Coturnix japonica: one gene and its partners. The protein of the gene in region 3 interacts with the protein of the main gene of each other region in a pairwise test. Links are inferred from orthologs where the notes say so. Each region holds a gene or a part of one and is shown on either strand. Other genes may lie near its edges.

What was found.
Region 1: the proteins of LGALS8 (region 3) and acylamino-acid-releasing enzyme-like interact in binary tests that used the Homo sapiens proteins (3 or more experiments, as listed by UniProt). The two-hybrid records come from large-scale screens. The link is inferred for Coturnix japonica from reciprocal best matches to the Homo sapiens genes LGALS8 and APEH.
Region 2: the proteins of LGALS8 (region 3) and TAX1BP1 interact in binary tests that used the Homo sapiens proteins (3 or more experiments, as listed by UniProt). The link is inferred for Coturnix japonica from reciprocal best matches to the Homo sapiens genes LGALS8 and TAX1BP1.

Annotation. Positions count from the first base shown.
Region 1 is NC_029527.1:1,405,409-1,409,157, forward strand, and holds the start of acylamino-acid-releasing enzyme-like, read right to left. Parts: upstream 2,227-3,749; 5' UTR 2,209-2,226; coding exon 2,110-2,208; intron 1,758-2,109; coding exon 1,628-1,757; intron 1,559-1,627; coding exon 1,432-1,558; intron 1,356-1,431; coding exon 1,256-1,355; intron 1,182-1,255; coding exon 1,106-1,181; intron 1,039-1,105; coding exon 872-1,038; intron 802-871; coding exon 664-801; intron 583-663; coding exon 491-582; intron 422-490; coding exon 381-421; intron 308-380; coding exon 186-307; intron 71-185; coding exon 10-70; intron 1-9. UniProt on the Homo sapiens protein: This enzyme catalyzes the hydrolysis of the N-terminal peptide bond of an N-acetylated peptide to generate an N-acetylated amino acid and a peptide with a free N-terminus. It preferentially cleaves off Ac-Ala, Ac-Met and Ac-Ser.
Region 2 is NC_029517.1:30,196,819-30,200,467, reverse strand, and holds part of TAX1BP1 (tax1-binding protein 1), read right to left. Parts: intron 3,043-3,649; coding exon 2,868-3,042; intron 2,445-2,867; coding exon 2,296-2,444; intron 1-2,295.
Region 3 is NC_029518.1:33,917,636-33,921,384, forward strand, and holds the start of LGALS8 (galectin-8), read right to left. Parts: upstream 2,228-3,749; 5' UTR 2,224-2,227; coding exon 2,020-2,223; intron 174-2,019; coding exon 85-173; intron 1-84.

The DNA of each region.
Region 1 (3,749 bases), on a different chromosome or scaffold from region 3:
TACACTCACCCCACGCTTGCCGTGGCACAGCCTCCAGCACAGTGTGGGCCTGCTTGGTTTGCCAATTGTACTGTGGGAGACATGGGGTGGGAGGCTGTGCCAGGTGCACTGAGTCTCAGACCTCCCACTAAAGTAGGGGTACAGCACCAGCCCCCCCAGGTGGGTGGGGGATCAGAGCCGCTCACCATGCGGAGGAGGCTGCACTGCTGGTGGGGGCCCAGCACCCTGTTCTCCAGGTAGGCGATGTAGCAGCGGTCGGGGCTGAGCCGTGGGGACCACAAGGCCCCAGTGTCCTCAGAGAGCAGCTCTGCAAGGGCACGAGGGGATGGTGAGGGGCTGCATGGTGCTCAGCACTGCAGGTCTGAGGGTGAGCTGCTCACCGCATTTCCCACCGGTCAGGTCCATGAAGAAGAGCGCTGAGCTGCCGGGAGAAAGGGGCTGTGAGCATGGGGCTGGGGTCCTCAGGGCGGCAGGGACCAGGGGGACTCACCGGCGGTTGGTGCAGTGCCGCAGCCCCAGGCGGAAGGGTTCGTGCCACCAGCCCACGAACACCACACCAGTGTCATCTGGGGACCAGAAGGCCTGTGAGCAGCGGACCGTGTGGCTCAGTAATGGAGTCTCCCATTGCCCACCACCTCCCGTGTCCCCTCTCCCCATCCTGACCTGTCCAGGGGACACGTGTTTGGGGACACCCTCCAGCACTGAGATGCTGCTGCCCTCGATGTCCAGCACGCAGAGCACGGGGACGCTGCGGGTGTTCAGTGTCTCCCCCCAGTTCTCATAGTACACGAACTGCTCGCCCTGTGGCACAGCCCCATCAGTGCCAGCTCTGGGGTGGAGGGACATCACCCTGGGGGTGGTGGGGCCCCACCTTGATGGGGGCATCTGGCTTCTTGGGGCGCTCCAGCTCCTGATCAGCAGAGCCATCCAGCTCGGGTGCTTTGGTCTGGAAGAAGGACTCGGCTTTGGGACGCTTCTTCTCCGCCACATACAGCAGGTGGGTCTCTGAGTGTGACCAGGCCAGGCAGCCGAACTGGTCTGTGGGGAGAGGTCAGGCACAAGCCACCCCGTCCCCACCATCCCCCAGGACCACCCCGTCCCTCACCATCATCATAGACACCACCATGCTTGTCCAGTGCGGTCAGGTCAATGCTTTTCACCTTGCGGTTCTGATACCACACCTGGGAGCAGAGGAGCAGGAGGAGCTCAGGTTGCCAGCCCCTTCCTTTCTGTAACCCCCCAGCCCCTCACCCACCTCCAGGAACTGCTTCTCCTTCTCTTTCTCTTTCTCCTTGCCCGGAACCTTGAGCAGCACAGCCTTCAACGCGCCGCTGGGGGACTCGCAGCTCAGCAGCCTGCAGGAAGGTGTCCCTCAGCCCCATCCTGCCAGGGATATGGGGCCGTGGGGAGGTGGGGGACATGGGGACCCACACATTATTGATCTCACAGCAGGCACCGCCAGGTCCTGCATAGACGATGGAGGCCCCGTCGTGGAAGAGCAAATACTGCCGGCAGAACTTGATGCTCTTGGCCTGCACCAGGTCCCGCTGTGACCATTCTGCGGGGGATGATGGTGAGGACAAACAACACCCCTCCGCCCCCCCCCCGCCCATGGCCCGCCCCGTACCGGTGTACAGGCTGCAGTACTTGCCCCCGTACTGCGTGGTGATGTCGGGGCCCAGGCAGGCAGCGCTGATCGCCGGGTTCTGGCTCAGCTCCTGGTACAGCGCTGCGGCCTCATCGGCGCTGGGCAGCACCTAAAGGAGCACGGGCAGCTGGGGGGGGGGGAGTGCAAAGGGCAGCAAGGGGGGCTCCTATGGGGACAGCTTAGGGGGGGTCTGAGCGAGGAATAAGGGGACATGGGGGGAATTATGGAGGCGTGGGGGGGCTATGGGGGGCACCAGGGCACGGGGGGGGCTGTGAATGGGCACAAGCCCATGGGGGGGTGGGGGGTTGTATTGCACCGAGCCCATGGGAGGGGGATAGGGGTCCCAAAGCTTCAGGGTGGGGGGGAAGCTCAGGTCGGGGGGAAGGTTACGGGGGGCGGGGTCCCTGGGCAGTGACGTCACCGCCCCCCAGCCCCCAGCCCGTCCCCCCGCAGCCCCTCACCACTGCACGCTCCATCGCATGCGGCTCCATCGCACGCAGCGGGCGGACACAGCGCCGAGCTCCGGCACATCCGGGGCACTGGGCGGGGCCGCCTCCCATTACCTGCGGCCTTCCGGCCTCGGTCTCGCTATGGCGCCCCCTTGTGGACACCGCCGGAACCGCAGCGCTACCTGCGGGCGGTACCTGCGGGCGGTACCGGGGCACGGAGCGGGCCGGGCTGGGAGCGCTCCATTTGCCCATCCCCGGAGCACGAAGGGACGAGTCTGAGGCTGTGTGTGGTTTATATCAAGTCCTTTTATTTTGTTCCCACAGAAATACCTGGGTGGGGGGGGCAGCTTCTGTACGGAGTCACGACACAGCGCGGCACGGGGGGGTTTAGGGGGGATTTACTACGGGTCTCACGGAGCACAGCAGACACGCACACCGTCACAATGGTCAGAGGGAGGAGCGCCGGCATTGCACTTACCACTGTAAACTTCTCCTGGGGCTCAGCGGGGCCCCGCGTGCAGCCGCGCCCCGGCACCTATTTACAGCGCTGGGGGCGGCGGGGGACGTGGGGAGCAGCGCACCACGCAACCCCCGGTGCACGCATCGCGGCCGGTAACGGCGATGAACCGATGGAGGAGAGAGAGAGGAGGAAAGAAAAGAGAAAGAAAAAGAAAAAAGAAAGAAAAGGAAAAAAAAGAAAAAAGAAAAAAGTGGGAGGAAAAAAGAAGAGAGTCCAGGCAAAGAACGGCAAGCACTGAAACGCGGTGAGACCGTGCAGAGAAGTAGCAAGCCATGCTCTACGACAGGACAGACGGTCACGGGCGCTATGGCTGCCCTTTGGCAAAGTGGCCCCTCCGTGGGTCGAACATGCCACGAATTGGAACTTCATACGCACAGGTGGTCGAGAGAGAGGAGTTACCCGGTTTGCAATGACACCCTTGCACGCGACGTCGGATTATCAGCTATGAACAGGTCTCGTTCTGGAGTCGTGTTATTTCGTTGCATAGAACATGGGACGGGCGCCGGCGCGGCACCGGGGCGGGCGAGGGCCGGGCGCGTCTCCCGGTGCCATGGGGAGCCCCGCCGGTCCGAGCGTGCCCACGCGGAATGGCTTCAGAAGGACTTGGATTGCACAGTAAGAGGAAGGATATCGGCGGAGGCGAAGCTCTCCTGGTCTTGTTCCATGGATTGTGCTCTTTTGTGGCCTCCTGCACTCTATTGCTTCTACAGACGACAGCCCATGTGCTAACTCATCGCACAAAGCAAAGGGGGAAGAGGGTTTTGGTAGAGAGTGAAATAAATGAAAAACCAAAAAAAAAAAACCCAAAAAACCCCGAAACGACAAAATGAACCCAAAAAAACCGAGATACAAAGGAAAAAGAAACAATCCAGCCCTTCCCCTCCCCCCCTCCCGACTCCCCCTGCCCCTCCCGGTGTGGATGAGGTATACGCAGAACTCAAAGTGGGATGATTAAGGCTGTTCTTCAAAGAAAAGGGGTGCCCGGCGGCGGGGCGCGCCGGCTGCGTGGCGAGGGCGAGCGCGGCCCTTCGGATGCTTCCCATGGCTTCAGGGCAGCGCCCGGCCGGAGCCACGTCGGCAAAGGCCAGCCCGCGTCCACGCCGACCCAGCAGAGTCCTATGGCCTCGTATTT
Region 2 (3,649 bases), on a different chromosome or scaffold from region 3:
AATTGTGAAGAGCTGCCTTTAACAACATAACTTCACTATTATCACTGGATCGTAACTTTTACTCTTAAAACTGCCAGTGAGTTCAACAGGCTGTATGAATCATGAAGATAAATAGAGCATTAACACGCAACACTTACCCACACAATTACACACAATAAAGTTTGGTAACAAGGGAGTCTGTTTGCCACTGAAAGAGGAAGAAGGGCAAGCAGGCATTAACAGCCAAACACAAGCACAACTCACCTAGTTTTACCGACTCATTTTTGTCTCATGTAACACCTACTGCTTTAATGACTACCACCAAAAGCCCATATAACCAGAGCTGAGACTGCCCAGCAGAAGCCAGCAACCAGCCATGTGGTGCAGTACAAAACCCACAGACAGGAAGAGTTTCTGTTTCTAAGCTCCAGGGAACATTAGCACAGGGACAGGAAGCAAAGCAATGTCCATCTCAAGCTTTAAGTAATCAAAGAACGGCCACACCATTGGTTCTTCTGCTCTGTCCACCAAAGAAGGGTACACAGTTTTCTTCTCGTGACTCAGCTCTGCATGAGCACTGTTCATCAAACCCCCTACATCTCTGCAAGCAGCCTCGTCTCCCAGGAGGTATGTGGACATCTGCACAGATACCAACTACTCTTTTCAAGTCTATTAGCAGATAAAGACAGTAAATGGCAGCTATGATCAGGCTGATGAAAGTGTAGTGGGGTTTCTGGGCTAAAAGAAAGGCCATTGTGAATTCATCTCAACGAAGAGCTTGACCTGGCTGCCAAACGTAATCCCCTCACCCTACACATTTGCTGTTAGTAACAGCTTTCTTGAAGTCCTGGGACAGCTATTCTGGGCTTACTGCCAACTGTAATCAAATCTACATTTCATACTGAAGTGTGAGCTTCAGAAAAGTACTTTGTTTCCTTCACGTATCTCTCCTGTACAAACCTCCTCCAAGTGATTATCATTTGTTCAACTGCAGAGCGTAAGCAAAATGGATATATAATGGACAAATACTTATTTCCATGTCGAATTGTACACTCTACACCTACAGCCTGATTTGGGGGGTGTGGGGTGTGGCAGCAAGTAATTGATTCTCATTGGAAAGTCAAAAATAAAGATGTAAATTACTTGATTTATTGAACTTTATTTAAGCCTGCTGTATTCCATCTCGTTACAAAAATCCAAGCTGTGTCAGCAAATGAGCACAAGACTACAGCACTGTTTCAGTTGGGTTTGCAAGGGGGCAAAGCACATAGATCAGAAAGAACACCCTGCTAATTAAACTGAAGCAGATGACTAAAGAAGAGAAGAGCTTGTCATATGTAGTATCTACGTCAAGAATGATCAGATTAAATATGCAAAATGTGGAGAAAAGGTGGACAACAGTATTAAGCTCACATTCTTAAATAGGCTGCAGGAGTTCTGACAGTTTTTCTAATTATTCACAGTAATGGACACCAGGGGCAAAAGGTAGGAGGGAAAAATACATTTTTCTCCATTATAGGTGCTGAGCACCAGGGCTAAAATCATGCCTGTCTGAACACTGATCAGCTTCTGCAAAGGTTAATAGCAATTAAATGTGGCAAACTAGACTAAACGAGAAACAGGTCATGATACCGCTGTACTTGCAAAGAGCAAAATACTTTGCAGAAGAGTATTTCTTGTTGAATATTTTTGAAGGTGCAAGAATACTTAGAATTGGAAAGAGTAATAAGTCTGCTCCTGTTCAAATGAAGCCATTTGGTCCAGCTTATTACAGAAGCCAATTTACTAGAACTATGTTTTACAGAGGTATGGCGTGAAAGTTGAATGTTTGAGAAAGCAAAGAAAACCAGTTTCCACTTCAAACATACGAAGCCATAAAAAAAGAAATCGGTGACAATCTGTCACCTTCTGTTTAATCAGCGTTAGTCATCAATCAGCTCTTCCAAATATATGCTTAACAGCGAAAAAAAAATCGAAATGGAATAAATGCAGGCTAATAAAAGACAGAACTAGAGGTTTATATGTAGGGATTAAATACCTGATACTACAGACACTTTATTTCGGTATTTAACGGAAGCTACTGCTATCAGAATACTTCAGGTTTTTATTTGCTCTGATCCAACTTACTTCCTGCCTACAAACAAGGAAGCAAATAAAACCAAATCAATCCCATATTTACAAAACAATAGGATCGGGCATATCTGATACTGAAAACCAACGGGCAACTCCAATGTTCAGTAGTAATCACAGCAAGGAAAGTTGAACATAATAGGTAATAGAGATGGAAAATTAAAGATGATATAGAAGATAACTCACATTGCTGTCCTCAGGATCTTCTAAACCATCGGGCCGACTGAGATTGCGTGAAGGCTGACTACACACCACGTCATCTTCTAGCTCCCAAAAGGAAGTTCTAGCAGGTGGCCTTTGGATCTCATCAGGATTAAAGGCACCATCTGCTCCATCTGAAGAAAAATTAATTAATTGATCCTTGTTCAGTTTGTTTTACAGATGTGCCAATTTACACCCTAAATCAAGGATTTCAAATATTTTTGGCTTTAGATAAGGTATGAAAAGACAGAAATCTACTTTTTCAAAAGACGTCTGTAAAATTTTTCTTAACTTATAGATTCTCTTCAACAAAACAAAGGCATTTAATGATTCTCATTAACAAAGACAACAAATAAGAGCACCGTACATCAGCACTGAGACTGTTCTTAAGCTGCATTTAAGCGTCTCTGAATGAATGCAGCATTGCTTTTGAAACAGTGAGAGAGAAATACGTGGAAATTATATATATATACACATATATATGTGTGTGTGTATGTATGTATGTGCATATATATATATATATATATATACACACACACACACACACACTCATTTACCTCTTCTTTCCTGAATTGCATAAGGGTTTCCATACTGCAGTACTGGTAGTCTACTTGGCACTGCAGGAACTGGGCCGTTCTCCTCTGAGTATGGGTTGCGAAAATGTAACGTCGGCTGTGAAATCTGTCCTTCCATCATCCTCCCTGCTTGATTTCCTGCTGCCTTGCCAAGTTCCTAAACAACACAAAGTTTAAAACATAATCACTCCACGGACGTTTAGGCAAAAGTTGAGGGTTTTTTAATGAACTATTTAAATTTAAAACAACAACAACAAAAAAGTCACATCTTCAGACCCTCATTTCACTTTGACCCAATGTCAAATGTAGCACTTGAGCAAAGAAAACACAGAGGTATTTTAAAGAACGTTTCTCATCTGTTAATATGAATTGTATACACAGAACTGCCACGTACTTCAAGAAGAATCTGCATCCTTCTCAGAACAAAGAAAGGACTATAAAATAGTAAAGGGTGAGTTGAAGTAACAGTGACAACCATGTGCAATTAGGAAAGTTAAGAATGGATCATTTTAATAAGTGAAGGAGATATGGATTTACTGGACATAATTCCCTACAAACCCTTAAATGGCAGGTATTAAGGACTACTAAATACATTGCACTGGATCCTCTCCGATTCATAACAGCAGAATGCATAAATACTATGAGATTTCAGACATGGAAGGCTTAGACTCCAGCATCAACTACTTAAAGCCTTTTTCAAACAGGAAGGAGAGTAAAAGGAGAAAAATGCTGTCTACAATAGTAAGGAAGCTTCCAGGAGGTTA
Region 3 (3,749 bases):
CATCACAGGACACGTGGAAACATTTTCTTAATTACAGGCTTGTTCACCTTATGTTAATTCACAAAGTGATACTGTAGTTACTACCTGTCTGCATCATCAGGAACATTCCCATGTATCACAATCAGCTCTCCAGGAACAATGCCACCAAGAATCGTCCCGACATAGGGAATGACCTAGAAGAAGGAGGGAAAAAAGACAGAAATAACCATTTGTGACAGAGGCAAAATAAATATATAGTTTTTTAAACAATATTTTTGATAATTAAGTGATGCTCTAGCACATTAAAAGAAAGACAACTAGTATTCCATTTAAATGAAACACTAGTAAAGCATTAAATATCTGCCACGAAGAGAAGGAAAAACCAAGATTTTCATCACTGAAGATCAGCCTTCTCAGATAAGATTAAAGCTAAACATTTACAGTCTTCATGCCTAGCTCTCTAAAGAATAATGGCAATATTTTACTGCTCCACTTTTAATATAGAATTCCCCTTCAAATTAGGTCATTGTCAAGGACTAACTACTGCTGGTTGCAGGAGGCATCTTGCACCAGTTTTTTAACACTAGACTACAGCTGCTGTCTCTTTGCTTGCTCTTTTTTGAAAAACTGTGATTGGAAAAGCAGCAACTCTGGTGGAGAGTATCACAGAATCACAGAATTATCAGGGTTGGAAAAGACCTAGAAGATCATCCAGTCCAGCCATTACCAATACTTCCTGGCTAAATCATATCCCTCAACACAACATCCAAACGTTTCTTGAATACTCCCATGGTTGGTGACTCCACCACCTCCCTGGGCAGTGCATTCCAATGCCTGACTACCCTTTCCGAGAAGTAATACTTCCTAATGTCCAGCCTGAATCTCCCCTGGCGCAGCTTAAAACCATTCCCTCTAGTTCTATCACTGATTACACAGAATGGGAATGACAAAAAAAAAATCTCCTAAATCCAGAGCGTTGTTCATTTCCATCTTCTCCCTTTCCTTCCCTTCTCAGCTACCCACATATTGCACCTTTCTTTGCAGTCACCTTTTACATTAGAGATAATACAGACCTACTTCACAAGTATAAGCTTGAAACTGACCAAACTGTTTAAAGACTTGTGGATTTTACTGGCTTAGCCAACTGCAGTAGAGGAGGATGAGAACATAAAATTAGGCAGTATAAGTGAAATAACAAATAAACTGATTGAATCAATTTACTTACTAGCAGTAGTGTAGGAGCTTAGTTCCATAGTCTACAAGCTGTACAAAAGACACTCAATTTCATCCAAATAATAATACGTAAGAAAGAATACATTCTGCATATTTTCTGCACATCATGCAGTTTAAACACACTGCTTGCTCCTGAGGGGCAGTAGCTTTGAGAATCACAGCAGGGTATAAGTTACTGGTTCGGTCTCCAGAGATGAACCAATAAGAAACACACAGACACAGCCCAGGAACACTGGGATTTGAATACTCCAGTGGGTCAAAGTTATTTATACACTGTATACACTGTTATACACTGTATACTGTGTACACTGTTATACACTGTATACACTGTTATTTAACACTGTAGCAAGGATACATTTAATAGAGAAAAAAGTCAGCCATCTCTTGTCCAGAAGCTCAGTCATGGAATCTGCATGGCCATAATAGAGCATTTCCTGGGCGTAATACTACAGACCTAATGACCATCATTACAGAATGTGCTTGTCATTTCTTCACGTCTCAAGAGCTGTGCTAATTTTAACTCATCTATTAAGAATAATGCTTGTGCCACTACTTGATTCCATCCCAACTCTCTCACAAACCTCCAGAAGTTCCCCATGAAGCCAACTAGCCAACACTAACTCAGTTTGAAAGGCCTCAAAGACCAATTTGCAGACTTTGTCTGGAGCCTGGAACAACTTTTCACACCTCTGTCTCCAAATAATTGCTCTTATTCTCCCCCAGGCTCTTGATGCCTAAGCCCCAATAATACTCCTTTATGTTCTCCAGCTTGGTTTTGTCACCCACCATATTCACCAGACCACTTACAGTCAACCAGTTTTGCTGAACTCCTCCTCTTCTCCTTACACAGACAATGTCACCTGTACATTTACTGATCCTCTTCACATCTCCCTTTTGCAATTCAGTCCTTACAGCTCTATTTCCATCTCCACACATCCTTCCTTCTTCCCCCAGATGGATTCTTGTGAAGAAACCTAAAGCCATTTCCCCATCATCTATTAGTCTATCCATTTCACAAGCAACAAACAAGCAGTGGAACTGAACAGTCAGATGCACTTGAGGGCACTGGACTGTATCAGTGCAGAACTACAAGAGAAAAGGAAGTCCTGTACAGTTACGTAGCACTGTTTATTCCACAGAGATTCTATACAGACCTAGTGGTGTTGCTTTTTTTTTAATATTCTGTGCTAGAAGTATGACAAATAACCATCTCCTGAAGGCTCAAAAGAACTGTTTTTAAAGAACAATGAGAAGTAGAGCTCCAGCCCATTTCTCATGCCAGTGCAAGGCCACTGCTGCAGAGTACAAGTAGAGAAATACTACAGCCACCTATGAGGATTTTCCTCACACACCCAAGCAACATCAAGAGCTCTCAGTAACACTCTGAGCCATAGGAATGCCCTGCTAATTTCTGACATTAAAGAGCAAAGTTCCATTTCCTGGGGGAGGAGTTGTTGACATAAGAGTTACCGGGTTACTGATATTCTTCTGCAGTCCATCCAAGGACATCATCTTCCCTCCTCCAGTTCAAGTCAGCCAGTCCTGTGTGACAACTCTTAGAGCGTATTCAGATGTTCACTGATCTGGCTGCTCCAAAGCGTGGACCCTTTGAAAAGCCAAAAGTTTTAATCAGAAAAACAAAAGTAGAACTACATGAAGTTAAACTCTTCAAAGTATAACTTTAAATATATTTCCAAGAAATTTGATCATGTTTTGAAACATCAAAGCTAAATGCTTGGTTTAAGCATCACTGAATCACAAGGTTGGAAAGGACCTGCAAGATCACCTAGTCCAACTATCCTCCCATCACCATTGCTACAACAAGCTACTAAACCATATCTTGTAGCTCCTCATCCAGATGCCTCTTGAACACTGCCAGGGACAGCAACTCCACCACCTCCCTGGGCAGCCATTCCAGTGCCTGACCACTCTTTGAGAGAAAAAGTTTTTCCTTATGTTTAATCTAAACCTCTTCTAGCACAACTTGTGGCCATTTTCTCAGGTCCTGTTTATTGCCTGGGAGAAGAAGCCAAAACCCACTGAAGAAGTATCGTGCTATTCTAGCAAGCGATACTGCACACAAGGTACACAGCTTTTTACCAGCTGCTTCCTGACATTGTGTATACTGAAACAGAACCCTGTATAAAAATCACTACTGCATGGGGCAACACAAATAACCCTCATCTGGGCCTTAATTACTCTCCATTTGCAGCTGACCCCTACCTGCAGCCCATGAAAAGAGATATGGTACAGAAATGTTTTTCCAAAATAAATAGCCATTTTCATTTCCAGAGCTGTGTAACCTGGCAGTAAGTGCTAGGGGCTGAACTACTTTTCTTCAGCTTTATCCCACATGAAGCTAAGGGATACTGGCCAAAGACACAGTAGGAAGCAAAGGGCTTTTCTTCCCCCAACACACGCAATTCCTGAAATCCACAAATAACTACAGAACTCTGCAAAACTTGCATTAAATACAAAGAACTAGTAAAAAAAGAAAAAATAGCTTGTGAGAATATCCAGCTATACTGTCATTCCTT